Arabidopsis thaliana: one gene and its partner. The protein of the gene in region 1 interacts with the protein of each later gene in a pairwise test. Each region holds a gene or a part of one and is shown on either strand. Other genes may lie near its edges.

Region 1 (7,661 bases):
TATAACAGTAAGAGTATAAAACAATCTTTCTTGTTAGTAGCTTTAAGGTTTAAGGAGCTACCACGCCAAACGATAGAGATATCAACTCATTAGAGAGGAGAAAACCATCTGGATCTTTCAGTCTAAGGTACCTCACATGATCCTCAATCTTCACTTCATCATTTGCAACTAAGGTTTTGAATTCATCAATCATCACTTCGCTTCTCATATCATCCAAACAAACAATGTGCCCACTCTCCACATAAGGCTCATAAACTTTACAGATTGATTTCACTACCTCACTGCCAAAAGCTTCTCCAAACTCCTTAAGTTCAAGCCCTTTAGATGTTCTGAAAGATAGCATTAAGATGTCTGTTGCAACATCCTTAAGATCAACATCACCATTTCCACACCAGTTTGCTGCGCCATTCTCCAAGTCAGCGACATAGTTTGTGTATTCCTTTAGCCTCCTTGGCCTTGAAAACCTCAACCCTCCAACATAACTCGCTGAACCTAAACCGAAAGCATAGAATGGCTTGTTCTTCCAGTATATCAAGTTGTGTTTGCACTTGAAACCGTCTCTCGAGTAACTGCTGACTTCATAATGTTCATAACCTGCACCACGGAGCATCGATGATGCTGTTTTATAAAACTCTGCAGACTGTGTTTCTGAAGGAAGAGGGGACTGTCCTGGAGTGTACCTACACAAGTTCATGAACCCAATTCGTTTCTGTTCAGATTACATTCAAGTTCTTAAGCATCAGTAAGCAAACTTGAACTACGTACACTTACAAATTTCCAAACTTTGTGCCTTGTTCGACTTGCAGATCATATACAGAAACATGATTGGGCTGTGATTCGATAGCTAATCTCAAACTCTCTTCCCACATCTCCAAAGTCTGGTGAGGCAGAGAAGAAATAAGATCCATACTCCAATTCTCAACTCCACATTCTTTAACAAACTCTATTGCTTCATACACTTGAGAGACACCATGAGCTCTTCCACAAGCTTTCAAAAGCTCATCTTGAAAAGCTTGAACTCCTAAAGACACTCTGTTAACTCCCAATTTCATCAAATCCTTCAGCTTCTGACCATCAAACGTGCCTGGATCCATCTCCATTGATATCTCAGCATCTGGACTCAGCCCGAAATTCAAACTCAATGTTTCCAGAATCAAAGAAACAAGCTTCGGAGGAACAAGAGAAGGCGTCCCACCACCGAAAAACACCGTTTCTAGATTCGGGTTCGTATCAAAATCCGTCCTTGTCGCTTTTATCTCTCTAACAAGCAAATTCACATAGTTCGTGATTCTCGGGTCATCTTCTTTTCCTTCCTCGTAGACATTAGACGGTCTGGCTGAAGAAGAAGACATGCCTAGAGCTAAGATAGGAAAGTCACAATAATGACAGCGTTTGCGACAAAACGGAAGATGAACGTAGGCTGAGGTTGGTGGACCTTTGTGTAACGTAGTAAGATTGGTTGACGCATTTCGTCGAGCACTTGGTGGAGTATCTTGTAGAACAACCTTACTAAAAGCTCGAAAAAACAACTTCGATGAGCACTTGGGTTTACCTGTAAACGATGAGAAAATTGGAGAAATCGTTGTTTTCAGCATAATTACCAAATAAAACGAGAGAAAAAGAAAGAGAGCCAGAGAGACGAAGAGAGAAAGCTTTCAAAGATCAAAGTTCACTGGTCTCGTTTTATATGCTTCAACGTCGTCGTTTTAGTCAGAAAGTAGACTCACTAAAGACTTGACCATCTAATTAACACACTAATTACAATTGAAAAATATTATAATAAGAATGAAACGATTATTCACTTATTCAGACGGAAAAAAAAATGGCGCTAGAATCGATAGTCTCTCTCTCGGAGCTTCTCTCTTCCCTTCTCTCGTCGAAACCACCGTCTCCGTCGAGTCTGAAACCTATCACGCTTCCGTCTTCCGTATCCGCGAGAACGTCACAGCATTTGTCGATGACGACGAAGATTTTAACGGCCGAGCACGATGACGTCATCAATCGAGTGGCGTATCCTTCGCTGGCGAACGCGAATCTCGTATTCTTCAAGTCCAGTTACTACAACGTCGAGGTGGTGCCTAAAGACGGCGAATCGGAGGAGCAGCTGGTTAACGATTTCAAGAGGTCGTGTTTCAGAGCGGGTGTGTTGCAGGAATCTCGAAGACGACGCTTCTTCGAGAGCTCTCTGGAGAAGAAGACGCGGAAGACCAAAGAAGCTGCGAAGAAGTATCGGAAAAGGTCAGATTTTTTTTTCACTTTTTCTTCTTTCTTTCGAAAAACACTTGGAGAAGTTGAGTCAATAGATTTTGATTTTACAGGAGACCAAACCCTAAACCAAAACCACTATCAACTTCAGAGATCCGCAAGCACAACAGAAATGCATCCAGAGAAGACGAACAAGACGATCACTGGGAACTTCCTCCTGAGGACATTGAGATTCCATATACCAACCGGTCTTAGAAGTAAACCGGAATGATATTCCGGTACACTGATCTGAGCAATCTTAATCACGCAGCATCTGCGTTTTGTAAAGCCACTCTTTTGTATGTTCTTTTAGCTTGAGATTAGAAAATTTTCATTGCTCGGTGTAGAGTGAAGATGAATGATTTTGGAGGTGTCTGTAACGTAGAACCAAATGCAGATGAATCTGTAACTAGTTTTGATTACATGACAAGTGATCACAGATATGAGAAGAATCAAGCCATAGATTGGCAGTTATATTATATTGCCGCCCAAAATCAGGAACAAAACACCAAAGCTCATCATCGGTAACAAGAAAACAAGTAAGGACACCATTATAATTGACTCTGTCTTCTCAAGGATCACTCCCTTAGCCATGTAGCTAGAGCCGAATCCCACTTGCATAGCTCGCCCTCTTTGAACCACAGACCTATGCCACAACCACAAGAGCCAAAATGTCAGCAAATGAAAACTAAAAGTTTAGCATACTAAGGAATGAGAGTGATTGGTCAAACTAAGTAAATGAAGAAGTGATAGTAATGGTTTAAAACAGATATATTGAACCTAACAATTTCAGTAATCAAGTATGATCTAATCTAGTTATGTTATCAAGTTAATTTGAAGCAGTTTGAACCACGTTGATTTGCCCCTAAACTGGACATAGTCAATGTCTCAACAATGAAAGATGGGTGAATGATTTGAACAAAAAACAAGAAATCTCACCAATCTCACGCTTGCCGTTTTCAGGGCTGTCACTACCATGCACAATGTTCCTGCAAATTGCATAATTTAAAAATATCAAACCATGAGAATTATTTTAAGTGCTTACTTCCAACAATTTTAAAGATGATAGAAGTCCAACCTTCCGGTTTGCACAGCAAGATCTCCTCTTATAGTACCAGGTTCAGCTTGAAGCGGATCTGTTTTCCCTATTAGCTTCCTGGCTGAAGCAACAACACCAACACCTTCCCAAGCCTTTACCAGGTTTAAAACATCACATGCAATTAACTCATCTAATTACAACTTGAAAACAAGTAAAAATCAAATTAGAGCATAGTTATACCCATACCATACACACAACTGGACCTGAAGTGATGTACTCAATCAGGTTAGGAAAGAATGATTTAGCACTAAGATCCTTATAATGCTCCTGGCAATTGAGATAAACACACAAGAATATTAATTATGTCAATCGAATATGAAAAAAAAATGAGGCAGCGTCATCTTACGCAAATGTAGCGAATAAGTGAAATATGCAAGTCATGATCAGGCTTCAATTTCTCGATACTTGTCAATGATTTATTAGTTATATCACATTAAGAAGCAATCTAAAGTTATCAAACTACTGATGTAATGAGTGAGTGTCAAACCTCAGCCAATTCTTTTGGGCACTGAAACATCTTGAGCCCAATAAGTTTAAACCCCTTTTTCTCAAAGCGAGAAATGATTTCTCCTACCTAAGAACATCAAATGAATCATACATTCATAATTTAAGCCAAGATAGTGTAATGAAATAACATTCAAAGCTCCATAGAGTTCCAAGATACATAATTTAACCTCAAAATCAGAAGAAGAAAAAAAATGAAAAGCAAAAACGCTTACAAGGCCTCGTTGTATGCCATCAGGTTTCACCATAATGTAAGTCTCCTCAACGTCCTCCTGAAACAATACAGAAAACAACGTAAGAACAATCAAAAGGTCACTAAATTGCATTGAGATTCATCAAATTAGAATATATCCAAACTAATTTGAATCCTAAATTCCTGATTTCGGAGTTTAATCAATGTAAGTACTAAGAAAACAAAGTAATTCGCATAAATGGAGGGGAAGCACACAAACCATAGAAGCTACAAGGTGAGGAAGGAAGATTCCCGATTCGGCGGAGCTGGAAGCGCGAAGACGGCGGCGAGACGCGGAATTGCGAGAGAAAAGACGGAACTGAGGACGAAATGCGGCCAACGCTGTTCTAAAATTAACCCTGGCTGGAGAACAGTGTGGATTGAGACTTGCCGAGTTTCTCTCCGGCGGCGAAGCCACACATAGGGGAGTCCATTTACTAACTACAGTCGCTCCCACCATTTTCTGCGCTTTGTCTTAGCTTCTCTCAGTGTCTTCGCATCATCATCTTATAAGAACAAAGTTAATTGACATAAATACCCTTTATCCAGAAGCGAAGATAATTTGGGTTTAGTTGATCAATCAAAAAGTATCAGTGCTCAGAAGTAATTTAAAAAGTGATCTCGAGTACAAAGAGTGTCTCGTTTAAATGGAGGAAACAGACTCTTTCTCTTTCCCTGTACAGTTTACTCTTCTAAAAGATTAAAAAAAACAAAAGTCTGCACATTTCAACAGTCGCACAATTTGCTGCTTTAATACCAAACCAAACCATCTTTCTTGTAGCAAAATTGTTTTTTTCTTTTTCTTTTTTCGTCGATTTAGAATCATTGTCAACAGAGTCACGTTGAAAAATAGGCAATACAGACTCATCGTCTTGTCTTCTAGATGTATCTGGCTTTGCCTTTCTTTTGCTTGCTTTAGCCATTTCACGCCACATCAAATTTACATTTTGTGCATAGAAGAATCAATGCGTAAACATCCCCAACTTTTTCTTTTCATCTTGTTGCTTTTAACAAGACCCGGAAAAAAGACTTCATCAATCAATTTCTACATCTATATCTTCCTCTCCCTGGTCAACAAGGTCAGTTTTTTGCCCTGCCTTGTCCACAACTTCGGTTTCTACCTTTCCATTGCCATCAACTACAGTTTCGTTTCCTCCCTTGTCCGAAACTTCAGTTCCTTGCACTCCCTCACCATTGTCAACAGCTTCATTTTCTTCTACCCCCTTTTCGACAACTTCGCTTTTTTGCTCTCCCAAGTCGACAACTCCAGTTTCTTGTTCTTCTTTTTCAGTAACTCTACTTTCTTGCTCTGGCACATTCGCCAATTGTTCTTCTCCTTCAATTTTATTGATGGATTTTTCATCTTCTTGGTTCCCATTATCTTGTGTCTTTTGGCTTACCAGTTCTTCGTTTCCACAATCGAGTTGGTTCTCTCCCTCTTCTCTGTGAGGACTAAGTGTTTGTCCTTCACTTTTGTCAAGGGAAAGTTCTTTTCCTACTCCGACAACTTCAGTTTCTTGCTCTCCTGTATCATCATCTCTACTACTTTCTTGCTCTAGCACATTCTCCAATTGTTCTTCTCTCTCGCTTTGATTGATTTTTTCATCTCTTTGGTTCTCATAATCTTGTGCCTTTTCGCTTACCGATTCTTCATTACCGCTAGCACGTGGGTCCTCTCTCTCTTTTCTGTGAGGACTGAGTGTACGCCCTTCACTTCGGTCAAGGGGATGTACTTCTTCCACTCCCATATCAACAACTTCATTTTCTTGCTTTCTCATATCGACAACTTCAGTTTCTTGCTCTTCCTTGTCACCAACTCCACTTTCTTGCTCTGGCATATTCTCCAGTTGTCGTTCTATTTCATTTGGGTTTATGGGTTTTCCATCTTCTTGGTCCCCATTATCATGTGCCTCTTGGCTCACCGGCTCTTCATTTCCGCTAACGAGTTGATCCTCTCCTTCTACTCTGTGAGGACTATGTTCCTGTTTTTCACTTCTGTCAAAGGGATTGTCTTCTACTTTTCTCTGGCTAAAGTGTGGCGGGTCTTCTTCTTCATCCTCATCCTCATCCATTTTCATATACAGACCTAGATGTTCTAATGGATTACTGTTGCTTTCCATCTTGAAACTACCCAAACCCAACATATCCTCACTAAACTTGGGACTCATCACTTCCATGGAAGTCGGTAATTGATCACCTTCTGTACCTGTAGCTCTAAGCATCTGGAGGTCTTCCATAAACCGTATGCCCTCGTTTATCTCCACTGTCTTTTCCATCTGCAACAGACCAGAAAGTCATTTATCATGATTGTACACCATGGTAGGGCTCTGAATAATAGAAGAGAAACTCGAAAAGTCTTTTATACCTTTTGTAAAGCTTGACGTGCAGCTTCTCTCTCTTGCTCTCTTTCCCTCCTCGCTTTTTCTGCGGCTTCTGCTTTGGCTTTTCTCCGAGCCTCCTCAGCTGCTTTGGCCTCGGCTTGTAACCGTTCTTTTTCTAATCAAACGGAAATCGCAAGAATTAAAAATAAAAGTATTTAGTTAGGAATTATGGGTACATAAGCACACTCGAATGCACTACAATCCAACCTTCCCGTAGCCGTTTTTCAAACTCCTCTCTTTCTATCCTCAATTTTTCAGGATCCCCTTTTTCACCCTGAAATTTGATGCATTAAATTTTTTGATTAAAACAATCCACAAGTTCAGGCGAGCTTTTTCGTCAACACAGTAGATCGGACACTTAAAAATTCAACCTTGGTAAAAGCCTTCTCTCGAGCTTTCATAATGGTATCAGCAAAACGATTCTTCAAGAAAGCCGCGCGGTAACGCTTATCTGGGGAATCTGGGGAAATTTGCCTCTCAGGTGGAGCAGTCTCCTCTATAATACCAAAGCATGACAGGTAAACTCATGATCTGAAAATAAACATCTATTACCATCTCCAACCTTCCTTAACTTTCATTTCTTACCATCTGGAACGAGAACTACTGCATCCATGGTGGTTGACTTTTCCCCAACAGTATGCTCAAGTTGATCCAATTCATTCAAAGAATCTACAGAGAACAAAGAATGAGTGTCGGGAAGACTTCTATATCCGAGCACTCCAACTTGCATACATCAATTATAAAGAGACTAACCATTTACAACTATCTTCTCACTGTTGCTATCATCCTCTTTTTTGTCTATACCAACTCCTGGTTGCTTTTTTTCCTAAATTAAAGAGGAGACTATACTTATTTTTCTGTAGTAATTTCACTTTTATGATTGCAAATAGTCCATGGAAATATTGGTGAGTAAATGAAAAATCTTGCAGAAATTAGAGCAACATCCAAACACAGAGACTCCATAACATAAGTTATTCCACTGTTAGATATACCTCTCTACTTGTGGGTTTTGAAGCTTTAATAGAATCTGTTTCACTCCCAGAGGAACTACAAGAATCAGAATCTGAAAGATAATCACAGAACACATCAGTATAAAAAGCACTTCCTATGAGTAAAAATAAAGCAAAGGAATCAATTCTACAGTTTGCCAAACCACAATGTAAGAACTTAATTCATTCGTCATAAACGATAACCACAGAAA
Region 2 (6,061 bases), 190 kb from region 1:
CAGGCTTTAATTGCAAAAGGGTCCCTCTTCACTTAATAAATCCAAATACGGACCTCACCGGTAAAGTTTTATACTTTCATAATTTCACCATTTCTTTTTTTTTTTGTTTCTTGACCATTTCATTTACCTCTTCACATAAGTAGATTTAAGCCAGTACACATGACATTCTAGATCGTAACTTGTGTTTTATGTGTTCATCATTCACAGGTGTAAGGCGCATAGATCGTAAGAGCCTAATCATATGTTTTTAGTCATGCACACGTGTGAAAGTATACACGTTAGTCAAAAAAAATTCTGAGTTTCATAGTCCAAAGTGACATATCCAATTTGTCTTTTTAGTTATAAATATTCAGTTCAGCTATTTTAGTTTTTCAAAGAGGTCAAATTAAACCTGGATTACAATATGGTGTACAGTTTGTCTTTTTATTATGATTCTGATTATCATATGAAGATACGTCTTGCTACATGTTATTTTATTCAATTATTCAAAATGCATGGTTCTACATATGGAAATATACAGATATACGGTCTACTTACAACTTGATTTTTTTTTTTTTTGTTAAATTACAACTTGAAGATTCTACTATCAACAAAACAAAAACAAAAAAAAATCTTCTATCGATCGAGCGAGATATTCAAATCAAAATACATGGTCAACAGGTCAACTATAGATTCAAAATATATGAATACCTAAATATTCAAATTAAGATATATCAATTCACGATCTAAAACATCCAAATATAGATTTTGCGAAAACGGCCAAAGAAATTATACATAACGGATAAAAATAAATAAAAAATTACATACGGATACTACTTAGTAGTACTTACTAGATTACCTAAAACCCATAATCTTACATATACATATGGATAAAGGTAACATCGATGAATTACTTGTTTCATCCGATCTGGAACGAATATATCACCTCGCTCGACCTAACATTTATGTGAAACTAAAAGGTTGTTTACATTGAGATAAAACCAACATTATATGCTTGTCAGTGAGGGAAGTTGTGACATCTATTATAGTAAGAAAATTAAATGAATGAAGATATTTTTGCATTGCCTGATACATGCATTATATGTATTGTCCAATTTTGGCATTAAAGTCAACGAGACAAAACTCTAGATCAAGATGGTCTCTAATGTTGACATTTGTTGCGACCTCTTTCAAATGGGTTCATCTCATCATTCATCACACAAATTTGTTGCATTATCTTTTATAATCTTGTTAAATAAACATCATTACGAACAATTTGTGGAAAAATGGAAATTATATGAAAGCCATTGGAAGTACTATATACAATTTAATGCACATGACTTCAACAGAAAATACTAGAGAGACAAGATAAGACACCTATAATAATTTAAGCTTGACATGAAGTGCTAAACAATTACTGTTTAGAGACATATATGCACATGAAACTAGGAAAGAAAAAACATTGCGGTGAGTACATGTCAATGATTGTCGATGAACAAATTACAAAACAGTAAAAATCAACACCCACCCACATGGGTTCCGGTATAAGGGTCAAGTTTGGCGATAACACAAATTTTAGGGTTTGCAAAAATGTTGTAACCATAATCGGTGATGAAATATGGAAGATCATGTGAATATTTAGATGATGAAACTATTTGGCTGAAAAGACAGTTAACTTTAAGCTTTATTACTTGAGATGCCCCGTGACAGACAACGAATGACCTTGGAGAGAATCACACAGATGATGCTAGAGGTAGCTTTAATGTGTTATATTTGCGAATGAAGATGCTTCACGCTCCTGTCGAATTCTTCTCTCTTTAGAGAAAGAACAGACCATTATTAGTTTAGCCCACTCAAGAGAAAAAACCGAAAACAATTGCAATAAATGCTTCAAAGTGCAATAAGGAACCATAAGATAGTTAGCATCAACCTCCACTTCATACTGTCTTTTACAAGAAGACATACATTCATCTGAACAAATTGCTACCAAATTCGGCATTTAATAAGCTGTCTCGTTACTTAGGATTTTCATAACCACACAATTTTTTGTTGGATAAGATTCTAGTAATGTGTCAATATTTCAAAGGAAAACTATAATGCCGACAGACACATAACTTGATCCACAAACTTCCATTGGACTAATCTACTACTCGATTTATCATTCAGTTAAAAGCAATTCTATACAATGAAAGTTACTGCAAGTTTGACCTCTCAAGATTTAGGCTAACCTGACAAAACAGAGCAAAATCTTACAAGATTTAGGTTTAAATAAGACGTGTAGGAACCAAGAAACTAAGAACTACATGAGATTTAAGATGGTTCTTATTTCTTCATCTTCCATACATAACTTAAATGTGAATTCTACAAATGATTTTCTTCATCTCTTTTCTTTACATTTGATTCCATTTTATGTTTGCAAATAATGAGCAATCACAACAACTGTAAAAAACATCAATTCAAGATACTCCTTTTCAGCTTCGGTCAGCTATTTGGTTGTTCGTTATTGGTGTCCATTGCTGACTTATCCATCTCATCATCAGAATCAATGACATTTTCAAAGTCATAATATGGATGCGCCTGCACATTTAAAAACCGATGTCGCTATGTATGTGTATCAAAGAAGTAAAACAACTCGTTGGTTCATTATCAGCATCGTAAGTTAGTTACCTTTGGTCGCGGTTTAACAGCTTCGAAACTATGAAATTGAGGATCCGAGAAATCAGGCGCCTGCAAAATAATATATGCTCCTTTGTTTTTGTACCTCTCTTCTGTTGCCTACACCACACACAAAAATGATTGTTAACGCATATCTTTAGAAAATGCAAATACCAAAGGCGTAAAAATACATACTTGGAATTGCGGATAGTCAGGTGCACTGAAAATAGTGATAAGCTTTCCGGATTCGACATTGTGGTCTATTGTATATCCATTGTCCATTCCACCAAGACCAGTTCTCTTCTCTCTAGCATCTGGACCTTCATGTGATCTGATGATCAACTGCACCAATAAGTGTAAAACATTTGATCCAATCATCCATATCAGTATTTGGGAAGCAAACAAGCATCAATATCTACTTTGGTGTCACCTTCAGTTCATATTTCTTCAAAAAATCCTCTGTACAATCGGGACCCCAAAGAAGACCAATGCCTCTCTGTTCATTTGGTGAAAGGCCCGGAGTCATTGAAGGATCAGACCATAAAACGTCTCCTGGTATCAAGTTTGAACCTTCCCAAGGAGGATCAAGAACTGATCTTCGAGCTTGCATCAACTCATCTAAGGTACCGAGTTTCATTGAGCTCGGCTCAGGTTCCAGAAGAACTACCCGACGGTTCTTTTTCCCCCTTGTTGTTCGCTTAGGCAAGACTGGGCTGCGGAAAAGCCCTCCATGTGCTGTATAAACACGTCCAGAAATTATGGAAGCCAAAGGAAGACCTTCAAAGCAACCCAAACATTTCCGGTACACATGTTTTCCCTTGTCTCCGTATTTTGTAAGCACTTCCTTCTCGAAACCATACATAGATGTACAATACTTTGACTCATGATTACCACGGAGTAGGTAGACTCTGTCCGGCATCAAAACCTAAACAACCAAAAAGATATGTGCTTTAAGAATACTAAGACTTGAGCCAATAGTAAAACAGCTTAGTAAAGAGTTTACCTTCCAGGACAAGAGAACAAGGAAGGTTTCAAGTCCCCAAGCACCGCGATCCACATAGTCTCCGTTGAAAACATAACACCGGTTTTGACAAGGAAAGCCAGTATCTTTCAATAGGAAAAGAAGGTCATGAAGCTGACCATGAATGTCACCAACCACAACAACGTTGGATACAGAGTCAAGATCATCGATATGAACGCAGTTACGTTCTTTGTGGAGGATTTTATGAGCGGTGAGGACGAGGGAATCAAAGACGTTGACAGGCAATAGTGAAGGTAACTGGGAAGGAGGTAGATTCCATGAAGACCATTCGAAACACGACATAAGCCCATGTACCCAGTCGTTAGTGAGAGCTCCCCCATCTGGCCATGTAATGGGAGATGGTGGAACAGTTTCCATTAAAACTGTAAAAACACTAATCTATAATCAATTCCAGAGTATGAACATGTGAAACAAGAGTATCAAGCAATCGAAACATAGACAAAGTTTTCAAATTTCAGCGATCAAAGCCACCAGAACATAAAATCGAATCTGTATATATTCATTCGTACATCTTTAAACTCAAGAGAAGAGCAAAAAGTACAAAATCGAATCATGGGAAATCGAAATCCATATCACAAAGAATAATTCGGAACAGAGTGAGACTCACCGGCTAAGAGTGGAGACAATTTACAAAATTCCAAAGCTTGGATCTTGGACCTAGCTAAGCTAGCTTACTTTGCTTTCTCTCTGCTTTCAGTCCCGACACCGTCGTCGACGAGATTTAGGATCTGTCTGGCTTTGGATCCATTTACTCAAACGACGTCGGTTAACCAGCTAAAAGGATTCAAATCAAATTCATGATTCCAAACCGGCCGGTTTAATAAACGAACAAACCTTTTTTGTCGTGACGCTGCAATAGCGTTTTGCAATCACGCGCTATCGAAAACGCGAGTTCGAGATTTTGTTAAAGGTGGCCAACCGGTTTGTTCTGGTTTTGATATAAACTTGAACAAAATTGGGAGACCGAATTATACATTGGTCTATTCGGTTACTTATCGATTTCAGCTTGATTTTGTTTACGGTACTATCCAAGGAATTTTTGTTTGGTTTCGATTTTTTTATTTTTCAGTGTGGATGAAATCAAACCGACTAAAATCGGTTCGATATCGATTTTTACATTTTTTCGGTCCGGTTCATGCTTTTCCTCTATTTTGAGATATTTGTACTGAAAAGCAGAAAGAGAGAAGAAACACAAAAATTGGACTTTGGTTTGAAATTGGCGACATTTTTGGGAAATCTAGAGACTAATAATCAATTTCGTCAAAAGATCAAATCTTGCTAAATTTTCTTCTGCTCGTTTGATTTTCCGAATCGTTGGTTTCGATAAGTGAAGAAAAGATGGGGAATTTGTTCGTGAAGAAACCACAGATCACGGAGGTTGATCGAGCGATTCTCTCTCTCAAAACCCAAAGACGCAAGCTTGGTCAATATCAGCAGAAGGTTTTTTATTCTCTCTTCTTATATCTTAATTTTCTTTTGTTACAATTTCTTTTGGAACCCAGATCATATAGTTTTGATTCATCCAAAATCCTAATTGGAGATTGGATTTGATTCGTTTCACAATATGTGTCTTATGATTGTTAGTAGTGTGATGGAAAAGAAAGACTCAAGCTTTTGAGTTCTTTGGCTCATCTCTTTGTTAACCGATCTTCTCATTTTTTTTGCTAATTTAGCTTGAGAAAGTAATTGAAGCGGAAAAGCAAGCTGCAAGAGACTTAATCCGTGAAAAGCGAAAGGACAGAGCTTTGTTAGCATTGAGGAAGAAACGAACTCAAGAAGAGTTATTGAAGCAAGTGGATCAATGGGTCATCAATGTTGAACAACAAGTAAATCCTTCTCCTTGTGTGTATGTTTTGTATCCGGCATCGTCTCTTTTGATGCATAATTATGGCTTTCTCAAACTTTCATGTGAACTCGCAGTTAACAGATATTGAACTTACGAGCAAACAAAAGGCAGTGTTTGAGAGCTTAAAGCAGGGTAATAGTGCTATTAAGGCCATTCAAAGCGAATTGGACCTTGATGATGTTCAAAAACTAATGGATGATACTGCTGATGCTAAAGCTTATCAAGATGTGAGTCAAAATACTTTCGGGTTTCGTATCATTTGTTTATGATTCATTATTACGTTATCCGCTTTGTCAGAATGTAAATATCTTCTTATTTGATCACTGCTTTGTGTGGCACAGTTTGTTCTGAGCTCGTCTAGTGTGAAAACCTCTATAATCTTTTTTGTCGAGCTTTTGTGTTTGATGACTCTATTTACATTTCCGAATGTCAGGAGCTGAACGCTATATTGGGAGAGAAACTATCAGCAGAGGATGAGGAAGATATATTAGCAGAATTTGACAACCTAGAAAGTCAGGTATGGGTTTACAAAATAAATT

What was found.
Region 2: the proteins of NDPK2 (region 1) and PP7 interact in a two-hybrid assay, tested with the Arabidopsis thaliana proteins (one study listed by BioGRID).

Annotation. Positions count from the first base shown.
Region 1 is NC_003076.8:25,369,300-25,376,960, forward strand, and holds NDPK2 (nucleoside diphosphate kinase 2), read right to left. Parts: upstream 4,606-7,661; 5' UTR 4,540-4,605; coding exon 4,300-4,539; intron 4,120-4,299; coding exon 4,063-4,119; intron 3,918-4,062; coding exon 3,831-3,917; intron 3,611-3,830; coding exon 3,530-3,610; intron 3,436-3,529; coding exon 3,323-3,435; intron 3,234-3,322; coding exon 3,184-3,233; intron 2,891-3,183; coding exon 2,823-2,890; 3' UTR 2,605-2,822; downstream 1-2,604. Other genes in the region: AT5G63290 (Radical SAM superfamily protein), read right to left, coding at 50-680, 772-1,595; AT5G63300 (Ribosomal protein S21 family protein), read left to right, coding at 1,823-2,476; NPX1 (nuclear protein X1), read right to left, coding at 5,114-6,355, 6,445-6,575, 6,668-6,734, 6,832-6,956, 7,046-7,129, 7,214-7,286, 7,453-7,523. UniProt on the Arabidopsis thaliana protein: Major role in the synthesis of nucleoside triphosphates other than ATP. The ATP gamma phosphate is transferred to the NDP beta phosphate via a ping-pong mechanism, using a phosphorylated active-site intermediate. May activate MPK3 and MPK6.
Region 2 is NC_003076.8:25,558,876-25,564,936, forward strand, and holds PP7 (serine/threonine phosphatase 7), read right to left. Parts: upstream 4,442-6,061; 5' UTR 4,284-4,441; intron 4,050-4,283; exon of another isoform or gene 4,039-4,049; 5' UTR 4,034-4,038; coding exon 3,638-4,033; intron 3,560-3,637; coding exon 3,065-3,559; coding exon of another isoform or gene 3,050-3,064; exon of another isoform or gene 2,977-3,049; coding exon 2,830-2,976; intron 2,755-2,829; coding exon 2,647-2,754; intron 2,557-2,646; coding exon 2,461-2,556; 3' UTR 2,195-2,460; downstream 1-2,194. Other genes in the region: VPS20.1 (SNF7 family protein), read left to right, coding at 5,015-5,116, 5,350-5,502, 5,597-5,749, 5,884-6,039. UniProt on the Arabidopsis thaliana protein: Phosphatase active on para-nitrophenylphosphate (pNPP) and on various phosphoproteins such as myelin basic protein.